3 linked regions of the Lonchura striata genome follow. The protein of the gene in region 3 interacts with the protein of the main gene of each other region in a pairwise test. Links are inferred from orthologs where the notes say so. Each region holds a gene or a part of one and is shown on either strand. Other genes may lie near its edges.

Evidence for each region.
Region 1: the proteins of KIFC3 (region 3) and CBY2 interact in binary tests that used the Homo sapiens proteins (3 or more experiments, as listed by UniProt). The two-hybrid records come from large-scale screens. The link is inferred for Lonchura striata from reciprocal best matches to the Homo sapiens genes KIFC3 and CBY2.
Region 2: the proteins of KIFC3 (region 3) and SOX5 interact in binary tests that used the Homo sapiens proteins (3 or more experiments, as listed by UniProt). The two-hybrid records come from large-scale screens. The link is inferred for Lonchura striata from reciprocal best matches to the Homo sapiens genes KIFC3 and SOX5.

What each region holds. Positions count from the first base shown.
Region 1 is NC_134604.1:61,121,296-61,125,041, reverse strand, and holds the start of CBY2 (protein chibby homolog 2), read right to left. Parts: upstream 2,653-3,746; coding exon 2,492-2,652; intron 2,418-2,491; coding exon 2,301-2,417; intron 1-2,300.
Region 2 is NC_134607.1:14,598,030-14,601,775, forward strand, and holds the start of SOX5 (transcription factor SOX-5), read right to left. Parts: upstream 2,591-3,746; 5' UTR 2,447-2,590; coding exon 2,409-2,446; intron 1-2,408.
Region 3 is NC_134615.1:17,417,061-17,420,806, forward strand, and holds the start of KIFC3 (kinesin-like protein KIFC3), read right to left. Parts: upstream 2,496-3,746; 5' UTR 2,446-2,495; intron 1,720-2,445; 5' UTR 1,690-1,719; coding exon 1,605-1,689; intron 1-1,604. UniProt on the Homo sapiens protein: Minus-end microtubule-dependent motor protein. Involved in apically targeted transport. Required for zonula adherens maintenance.

The sequences.
Region 1 (3,746 bases), on a different chromosome or scaffold from region 3:
ACCATGTTGCCCCTTTGATGCTGAAAGGTAAGGAATCCATCAGATACCTAGCTGATAGAAGCTGAGAAAAATGGCATTGGTAGATAAAGCAGCACAATGGCAGTACTAAAGTCTTTCTTATTAAAGCATGCACTTCCCCTTTATCTCTCTACCTCATTTTTACAGACCTGTAAGGGAGCAAAATGCAAGACTATTTTCTGCCTCAGAATAGCCTGCTCCCAAATGACTGATGCACAAACACATTAAAAATTGTTATGAGGCTCAAAAAACCTTTTTAAAATAAAGCATTTTTAAAGGTTCATAGAAAAAATCTGGCCTTGAGAGTTTTTTATTGCTAATGCTGAGTAGCCTGTGCTAACAGGATGCCACAAAAATGCAGTGACAGTTTTGCTTTTTGATCTTAAATTCCACAATATGCACAAACCAAAGCTTTGGGACATCAGAGATTTGTTGTTCTTCGCTTGGTTTTTTACAAGCTCCCTTCACCATGGTCCAAAAACTGTCACAACCCATAGATAATTCTCCACCTTTCATTCTCATTTTTCCTGTCACTCTTACTCTTTATATTCTTTGATAGTTCTGTTATTTTTCTTGCTTTCTAGCCCTGCAATGGTGATTGCTTATCTTTTTCCTACAGTCCATCTGCCTCTTTTTCACATCATCAGAAAACTCATCTCTAAAATCCATATTGTAGGGCCAAACCTCTAATGCTTCTCATTTCAGACACAGAAACCTCAGACTTAACTGTTGAATACTTTCCCCTCCTTTCCTCTACCCAAAATATTGCAGTTTAAACTATCTTTTAACCATGAGTGAACTGGGGCAAATTAAGGATTTCAGTCTTTTATGTGGGGGGAAAAAAAAAACAACAACCAACCAGACAATCAAAAATTATTGTTTTGTGCTAAAGAAAAGCTTGTTTTCTGCATCTAAATTAAAAAAAAAATATTAAATTTATGTGATTTTCATGATGAAGTTATTTGATCTGAGGTTGAACTATTTTTTATAACCAAATTGCTGGAACTTTCAGGGTTTCTGCACAGAGTTTCTAATAGCACAAATGTTCCTTTTTCTAGGTGAAAAAAAAAATAAAGCTACTTGTCAGATTTCACTCAGGTGTATTCCTCTCCTCCTGCTGAGGTCCTGCAGATTCCCTGCTGTCCCTTGGAAAGCCCAGTTCTGCCTTTCTGTCTGTGATGAAAGTTTTACCTTCGTGAATCTTGCCCTCATGTTTCTACCCCAAGCATTAAGCAGAGGGTGACCACCACACATGAGCCCCTTATAGCCTCCAGCTCTGTCATCCCAGTGTGCACCTCCTGTCCTATTGTTGCCCTTTCCTGTTGCTCTCCCTTTTCCCTGTCATTTCATCAAACAGCACTGCATGTCCAGGCTCCTCCAAGATACTTGTTAGAGCAAACATCCAGAGATGCATCCTGTACCCCCTTCCCAAATTTGTCCAACCACTCATAAAATTACTGTGTCATTTAAAATCCAAAATTCCTTCATTTAGGAGAGGGTTATTGCAATATAGGTCTCTGTGCATTTACGTTTGATTTTATTGCAATCTGTTTACTGTCTGAATTTCAGGGCTGTCTTCCATATCATCTGCTGCTTTATCTCATGTCAGACTTGTGTTTTCATAACATCATTCTTCTGCTAAAAAGGTATTTCCCAAAAACTCTGTTTTGGACTTTTGTTTCCCACTTACACTATGTCCAGAGCCATGCATTGCTCCCTCCCTTACACCCTTCCCCTGCAGCCTTTCCAACACATCCCATTCCACTGAGGTGCCCAGTCCCATTTTTTCCCCCAAAAGCCCTAAAAAATTTGGGCCTGGTGAGGGGTGAAGGGGCAGAGGGCAAGTCAGCCACAGAGGGAACAGACCTCTAATTAACCAGGGAAGATGCAGAACACATCCAGCATCAGAAGCCTGGACCCACATGCCTATCATGGACAAACAGCTACAGTTCTTAAAGTCACTTACAGAGAAAGTGTTTAGATTGCACATTTTCAGGATAAACAGAAATGTATAATATATACGACATTATCTGGGGGACAATTAAATTGACAGTGGCTCTGTCAGCTCTTTTGCACTGCCAGGGAGACATCGACCCAAGCTTTAGGGACCCTTCAAGATCTCAGTGCCTCCCATATATATTTTTTCCCCCCATCTCTGAATAATCCCAGGAAATGCTGGGCAGCTGGGCGGATGAGCAAGGCAGCCAGCTGCGGGGCAGCCCCGCCACGCCAAGGCAGGCTGGGCATTTGGGAGCGGGGCACTAGGAGCCGCACACGCTCACCTGTGGGCGCGGCGCTCCCTCTCCGCGGGGCCGAGCGCCGCAGCCGCGCTGAGCTCCCGCTGCTGCCGGCGTGTCCAGCGCCTCCCCGGCCGGGCACCGGGCACTGATGGGAGCCACCTGCCCCAGGAGCCTCCAGGGGATGGGAGCTCCTGCACGCCCTCCTTGCACAGCTCACTTCACGCTGTTCTCACAAGACTGGCTTGGGCTTCTCCCAGCGTTGCTCTTCTGGGCTGCTTCTCATGGAAATGACCTTTCTGCTAGCTCGGCTCCCATGCCCTTTCCTGAACCCAGACTTCCCGATCTCCCTTTGATGCTCGTAACTGAGAATAGTTTGGACGGATTCTTTCTCCATCACACCCTCTTAAAACAAATTTTGCTTTTATTCTGAAACTTCAAATTCTGTTTGTTGCTGAACTGATATAGATACATTCAAAAATCTCGTCCTTGCATGTGCTGTGGGATTTGAAGTTATTTTCCAAGGACAACATGAAGTTTTTCTTTGACTATAAGTTTAAGAGCAGATTATAGCTGAATCCAAGTAAGAAGAAAATAGAATATAGAAGACATTCGCACATGCAGGTTTAGATATTATTTGTAGCAGCCATTTCCACTTCCACATCTTTACATTTCTAATGAAGTCTTTCTTATTTGCTACATCTTCCAGAAATGGATTTTTTTTTTTTTTTTTTTTTTTTTTTTTTTTTTTTTTTTTTGTAATCAGGATTCTTGAATAATAAATACAGCATTTAAATTCTCTTTCAGTGAAAATTACTAAGTTGACATCACCCTCAAGGAGACTGCTGCTGCTTTAGGAACTTGAAGGTATAGTTCAGCTTTGGTGTTATATGAAAATTATAAACTCAGGTATAAAATTCTTCTCTGTAATTGCTCCCTTGCTTATATGTAATCTTAGACAACAAAACCACATCACAGGTTACTATGGCAACTCCCCAGGGAGTATCCTTCTTTATTTGAGCTCCAGGATCCCGCACAGGAAAACAGAAAATGTCCTCAGAAGAGAAAATATTTTATATGGGCTATTTGTGCTTGGCCTGCCATCATATGGGAATTTAAGAGTTCTACCCAGTGCAGACACTTTTCAGGAGGAGATTGGATGAAATATCCAATTTGAATTTCTGAAGAACTGTGGCTGTGGACTGTGAAAGTGACCTTTGATGAACATTTTAAGGTCCAAGAGCTGACTAGAAACATAATTAATAGAAAGAAGTGCAGCTGCTTAATCCAGAACCATGGAGAACTAACTTGATATTGAGCGTACCTTTGCTTTTCTCATGCAGTATTTTCCTTAAAGTTTTGTAAAGTTCCTCTGCCAAGTTAATTTTTTACTGAAAATTATGAATTCAAATGCCAATACATTTGGATCAAATTTAGTGAATATCATCAGATGTGTTTATGCACACATCAGAATTGGAAATGCTGCAACAG
Region 2 (3,746 bases), on a different chromosome or scaffold from region 3:
CATCGTGCACACACGCACACACGCCAGCTCCACAGGCATTTGTGGGTCTGAGGATCCCTGTCTGTGCAGAAGGAAGTATGTCCTCGTGGCTGTTCCCTGACAAACACACACACGTTACATGGACACTGCCTGGGTCTCCGAATGTGTGTGTGTGTGTGTGACTATAGTCAAACACACGCAAGGTAAACAAATGGTAATGATTAACAAAGATACTGGTCTCTATCCCCAATTTCAACTGCAGAAAAAAAATTGTTCAAAAAAAAATTTCAAAAAAATTGCACGTCCTGAGGTTCGTTTTTTATTGCTTCCCATTTCTACTGCTTGCTGTTATCTGCATGGCAAAAGGAGAGCAGTGTATTGATTATTTAACTAGAATGTTTACAAGAGCAAAGCTGGATCTCTGAAAATGAAACCTATGCCTAGGGGCAAAAAAAAAAAAAAGAAAAAAGAAGGGAGTAGAGAAGCTCATTCTAAGGATGATGGTTGCCCCAAATGACTTGTTTATATATAAAATTTATACAAATATCTATATTTATAATGCAGAGAGACTTCAGCTAAGAAAAAAGTCCCCAGCAGGAAAATGAAAGGGCTTCTTTCTGCTTCAGAGAGTTTACAAGCACTGTGTTCATCACAAAGTTCAGAGAATAATCAAAATCACTCGCTTATAAATTTCTATGTGTAAACTTAGTGAGGCACATGAAATACTTGAATCTATCGATTGCATGAAAACAACAAATGCATGAGCATGATGCCAGATCAAATTTGACATCAGAAACAGTAACAGTTTCCTCAGGTAGTTGAACTAAGTTAATACAGTACACGTGAACAAAACCAATTTTGTCCTATTATTGTAATGCTAAGAAACCGAAGGAAAATGCCAAGTATTCCAAGTCTGAAAAATTAATTGCATTAAAGATGACCTTGGAGTAGAGCAACCTAGCCAATTTCACTTTCTAGTAAGGAAGCATTCTAGTTTCAGAACAAGGATTGCAAGTGTTAAAATAGTTCTTTTCTGCATTTCCAAATTTTAATTTTCTCCGATCTTTTAATTCAAGTGTTCTTTCCTGTCCTTCCTTTGCATGTATGTTCCTCAGCCCACTTAAATGTTTTTATCTTGCCTTCTTTTCTATGCCTTTACTATCAAATTCAGTAGGTTTGAACGATGAACAGCTTGACTTAGCATATTTTTAACCAGCTGGTCTAGCACCTAGCTTGTATTGCATAGTCAGATACAACCAAATGTTTATACAGGAGAAGACAAGAAAAACCTCACGAAGACAAGAAAAACCTCAGTAACACGCATCCTGGCATTCTTTCGTTTACTGCTTAGAAATGAAAGTTTGGACTGTTTACTGCAGCCGCACATGGGGCTATTAACCTTTAAAAGAGAAGCCGGAGGGGAGGGATGCAGGACCATGAACGCACGGACGTACAAGCACCTGAGAAAACGCTTCCAAACATCTCAGGAGAAGCAGATCATATGAAATAAGGACTGAACTCTCGGAGGTCACAAGCCACCAGCAATGACAGCAAAAACTTGATTCCAAGCAGGGAAGGCTGCTGCTTCGGGCAGGGGGAGACGGGCACATCTACGTCATACCCGAAGCCCGCTCGTCATACCCAGACCCGGCTCTTGACACTCCGCGAGAGAGGCGACGGCCAAAACTTGGAGGCAAGAGTTTCACTTTTTCCCTTTCTTTTTCCCTTTGGGTTATTTTTCCCACCTCTCTCTCCTCACGCAGAAAGATGTTCTCCTGACGGAGGGCTGGGATGTTAACTTGCCTAAAAATAATAGCTCCTGCTAGATCAACAAAAGGTCATGTGCTCGGCAGAGCGCCTTCCCAAGTTTGACGGGAGCCTGAGGCTGGAAGTTAGAAGATGCCCGGGAGCCTGGCCGCCACCGGGCATCCTCCGACCGCTCTGCGGGAAGTCCCCGGGCAGGAGAGGGGAGGTTGTGCCCAGGAAGGTGGCTCGGCCGCCCGGCTGGGCTAGCGGAGGGTGTGCGGCAGGAGGGCACGGCAGCCTCTGCGGCCCCGGAACAAAGCTGCGCGCCGCGGGCGCTCCGCCCGGGGCCGGGGGCTCGGCGGCGCCCGCCACCCCGGTCAGTGACACGGCGCCGGGGCGGCGAGGGAGCGCGGAGGGACGCGGATGGGCGCGGGGGGAGCGCCTCTCTGCCCGGCCTCCTGCCGCCGAGCGCCCGAGTTGCGCGCCCGTCCCCGCGTGTCCGTGTGCCCGCTGCCCATCCGCGCACACGTGCGCCAACGGGCGTGCTCGGATAAATTAAAAAAAAAAAAAAAAATGGAAATAATAATGCAATAACAAAGCACGAAACAGAACGGGAAAGAAAACACGGGGAAGAGACACCCCCACACACATACATACACCCCCGCCCCAACAACTCGACTCACCTTTCAAACTCCTGAGGTAAATCAGGGTCAGTTAGCATGCTGGAAAAGCACAATTTCCCTTTGTCACAGCAGCCACCTATGGTCGCCTCCAACTGAACCTGTCAAGTGAGTCCAAACCTTCTAAACCGATTGATTTTCTCTCTCGCTCGCTCTCTCTCTCTCCCTCCCTCCCTCTCCCTCCCTCCCGGCTCGCTCGCTCTGAGCGAGGACTCCTTGACCAGTCTCTTAAAGGGGCAGCGCGCTCGCAGCACGATGAGCGCGCAGCTCCCCCCGCCGCGCTGCGCGACCTCCGGGGGCCTGTCCTTTTCTTTTAATTCTGCTCGCCCGCCGCCGCCAAACGGGAAAAGTCAACTCCTTCAATGTCCTAAAAAAAACAAAAAACGTGGAGGGGTGGAGGGGATAAGGGGGGGGGGGGGGGGGGGGACGGGGGGGGGCGGGGGAGAGGAGGGGAAAAAGAAAAAGCAGTCCGACAATCCACCTAAACCGGCAAACCAGGAGCAAATCCCCTACGCTGAGGAAGATCAGTGGAGAAAGAAGATAAAACAAGAGCAGACTGATTAAATTGAGACAGTTATCAACTCTCGGAGTTGAAATAGAGGAGAAGAGATTAAACACATAAAAATGTTACCAAAGGCATTTGTGCTCCAAAGAATTTTCATTCCTTTTCCCCCACCCTTCCCGGTCTCTCGCTTACCCTCTTTCTCTCTCTCTTTGGGTAGGGGAAAAAAAAAAAAATCACCCGCACAACAATCAGGCATTGTTCTGAAGGAAGAAAAGCAACTTTGACAGATTGAAATATAGCAGAGGCCCCTTCAAGGAAACCTGTAAACAACTTGTCACTCACTCTGTCGGTCTCACTGTTAGCTCTTGCTTTCCACAAAGTGCTGCGAACCGTCCCGGCAACAAACCCAAAGTTTCCTCAGCTCCAAACTCCATCAAATAGCCCTGTTGTGTGCAAGGGAAAAGGTAGCCACATGCCAAAACAGCGGGCGCGCACACACGGATGTTCAAACAACAACAAAAATAAACTTTCTGTTCATCTGTTAGGGCTTTTCTCGTTTTCTGTTTAATCACACCCCCCCTTTTCCCCCCGCTACTCTCCGGGCGAGCAGTAGAAGTCCCTCGGTCGTGACTCCCTCTCATTTCCCCTGCCCAGACAATCCCTGATAACAAGGTGGACGAGGCGCGGCTGCAGAGCCCCTGGGCTGGCTGGCGGAGCTCAACCTCCGCCGCACTTCCAATTATCCAGATAACAATCTGCCAGGCGAGGAAGGCAGGCAGGTAACGGGCCTCGGACACGCGGGGACAGCCCCCGCCTCGCCCGGGCACAGCCGCATC
Region 3 (3,746 bases):
GGGAGCCCAGCACAGACACAGCCTTCGGCCAGCTCAGCAAACCCACCTCCTCCTCCTCCCTGCTGCCGCCACCACACCGGTGTGGCAGACACAATGCATGACTTTTATTAAAAATGTTAATTATGTTAATTAGAAAAATTAGCCCTCTGGGGGGTGGAGACTGGTTACCAATGACTAGTAATGAGAATTCAGGGTGTAGCTTCCGACTGGCCTCTGCAGGACCAGATCTGTCCCCCACCAGGGATATCCCAGCTCTACCCCTTGCCAAGCTGCTCCACTTCCTGCGATCCCATCTCGGAAAAGCTGCCAAAGCCAGCTTGCATCACCAAAACCAGACAGTCAGACCCTGACGGTGTCACCTCCCTCCACTGACCCCAAATATTTCCTTCATTTGTCAGGCAGCCAAACCCAAAAGCAGCCAGGGCAGCACTTCCCTGTCCTGCTGAGCCACACAGAAGGAAACAGCAACTCAAGGAGCTTTCTCCCATGGTTGTGTCCTGCTCTGCTACAGGAAAAGCAGCTGGCAAGGGCTACATCCCACTGCTTGGGGACCCTGTGCCCCCCGCACCTATCTGCCACAAGTGCTGCCACCACTGCGGGTGGCCAAATCTCTTCTCCAGCTAACAGAGAGAAAATCAATTGCTCACAAATCAAACCTCAAAAATGCAGCCTTTTTCCTCTAAAGCCACCTGGAGGAAGTTGGGCTGGAGGTGGAACTGATGTCTGGAGGGAGAAGTGCCCTTATGAAGTTAGTCCATCACTCTGGACTTCTTCCCAGCCTCTAATTATCCATAACATTTTGCACACGCCATGAAAATTGAGCATTTCCAAAGTGCCAGCAAATGCCCGGATAACAGGTGATGAGCTTCCCATCCCTGTATGGGCAGCAGCAGCCGTTGGGCAGAGAAAGAGCTGAAAACCCTGACTTTGGAGGCTTTGGTGCCAGCTGGCATTTGGCTGGACTGGCCCAAGTGCCAGAGAAGAAGCTGCGTCCAGAGAAGTGGCTGCCAGCACAGGGGGATGGCAAATGCTGAAGCCAAAAGCAAAAGAAGTTCAAATACTGGGGTTTCAGCCTCCACCTTTGCCAAAACCCATTCAGCACCATCGGTGAGGGAGGTGGGAAGGGCTGTTTCCCAACAAGCGGTTGCAGGTTGGGACAAGCAGCTGCCCGCCTGCCTGCAAGGCAGCTCAGCCTCCACAGAGCAAAACTCGACTATACTCACCCATGGGGTCCATGCGCCAGAGAGGGATAAGGAGCCCTTCCAAGGAGCTGAGGCTGGGAAGAGGCAAAGGGCCCACATTCAACCTGCCATGCAGATCACTATTTTCTACCTCACATGTTAAATTTTAACCTTTCTCCCTAAGTTTCCCGCTCGGAAGGGCCAGGAGAGAGAGGGAGGCAGCCCTCTCTTCTCACCAGCACGCTGCCCAGAGCTTTGTGCCTGCTTCTGAGTCCCCGTTTCTCAAATCTTGACCTTCATCCGGAAAGAAATGTGAAAAATGCAGGCTGGCCTGTTCTCAGCCTCTCCTTCCCCAGTGAGCAGGGTGTGAGTGCAGCAGGCTGAGCCCCAAGGGGCAAGGACAAGGCACCGTGCTGTACTCACCGTCCGGGGCAAGGTCCTTGGTCTTCCAGGCGGCTCCGGCGGAGGGCCCGGATCCCAGATGCCAGGCGGTGCGGGACGTGATCATGGCACGGGGGTCCCGAGAACAGCGGCACCTCTGCGGAGAAGCGCAAGGACGGACATCTCAGCCGGTCTCAGTGCCCAGCTGTAAATCCCAGTGGGACGTTCTGGAGCAAAACACGACGGTAACACCGGCTCCGACTCCCGAAACCCGCAGGAAGTTGCATCAATCCCGTTTTTTGCTCCCGAAAAGGCGACAGCCCCGGGCTCCCTCCGTGCTCCCAGCGGATGTGACATAAACGGTGTCTGTAATTAATTTACTCATTCCTGAAGCCTCTCCAGGCCCCTCCTAACCTCGGGCTGGGGCTGCCTTTAGGGAGTTAGGAACTCCGGGACCACGGGCAGCCCTGCGCACCGCACCCACCGCATCCCAGCGCACACAATGCCCTGCACTGCACCGCTCCGCTCGGCACCGCCCGCTCCGCTCCGCGCACACCGCTCCGCGCTCGCCGCACCTCACCGGGGCCGCTTCGGCGGGGAACGGGACACGGAGCCGCCCAGCACACCGCGGGGTTCCTTTGCTCCCGACCCGCAGCGGGGCGGTCCCGGCGCCGGTGCCAGCGAGCAGCAGGCGCAGCCCCGCTCCCGCTCCCGCTCCCGGTGGCGCCGCCCGCCGCGGGCTAACGGGGAGCCGCGCTCTCGCCGCGCCGCGGGCGCTCCGTGCCAGCGCTCCCAGCCCGCAGACAAAGGGAGGGAGCCCCGGTCCTGCCCGGTGCAGCCCGGCTCCCCGGTGCCGCCGGTGCCGCCCCGCGGGGCCACTCACCGGGCGCGGGGCGGCGGCAGCAGCGGGACACACGGCACCAGCCCCGGCCCGTCCCCGCCTGCCCGGCACTTCGGTAACGGAAGCGCCGAGCCCCGCCCCGCACTCGTTGCCACGGAAACTCGTGAAACCCCCGACGGGCGGCGGAGGCGGGGCTCCCCTTCCCGCATCGGGCAGCGGCGGCGGCTGCGGGGGCGCGGGGCTCCGGAGGGCTCCCGGTGCTTCCCCGGGGCACCCCGGCCCCTCTGGCCGGAACCCTGGAAGCACAGGGGAGCCCCGGTGTTCCCCGTGCCCTTCCCAGGGCGGCCCGCCCCCACCGTGCTCCCCTGACCCTCCCTTGCTATAGTGCTGGGGGCTCCCGGTGTGTCCCCGGTACTCCCCGTGTGTCTCTGCCATTCCCACCCCATACCCGGTGCTCCTCAGGGAGTCCCAGTGTAACTGCATCCCACCTGTGCACCCCTCCTGGCATCACTCATCACGGTGACCCTGGGGGACCATGGGGACAGTGGTGCTGATTACCTACACACCGAGGACCCGCCTACCCAAACTATGCCCTCACACTCTGCCGCATCCCCACCGCTCCCAAGCATCCACTGGCAGCAATGCCAGCTGGCACCCCAGGCTCATCTGTCCCAGGGACACAGATATCACATGAAAAACAACCTTTTCCTAACCCAGAGGCATTGGAGAAAACAGCCTTACATGCCAAGACCTCTACAAAAGCCCTGGTGTCAGAAAGGCAACAGAAATGCCTGCATTTTTAGGGTGTGATTTGTATCTGCCTCCCTGTATTGCACACACAGCCCTCACAGTAATGGCTGGTTTGGGTGACACAAGTCACTCATGACTTGTTCACAGTTATGAACTGGCAGTACCGGATATTTCCCATGACAAAGCTGCACTTGGCATCCTTGGTGGTGGCAGCGGGTGCCCCGTGCTGATGGCTCACATCCACATGCCGATGGCAGGCTGACCTGTGTCCCACCAGGGTTTGGGGATGCAGGAGTGGCTGTCCCTTGGGAAAGGAGGGTTTGATGCCAGCCCTGTGCTGTGCTCCCCGCAGACCACCTGCCCTCCCTCAGTCCCAGCCTTTTCTCACTCCTGACCAGGTTTGGAGCAGGATTTAGCCTTGTCCTTTCATCCTGGACTGTCCCTCTTGGACATTGTCTCAGAGACCCCCCATGAGACACTGCTCCACTCCCTGCCACGAGCCAGCCACATGGTGAGGGGTGATAGGGAGCCACTGACATGGGGAGGACAAGCTGCTCTAGCCACTCACCCCAGAGAAAGGGGGCTGTGAAGGA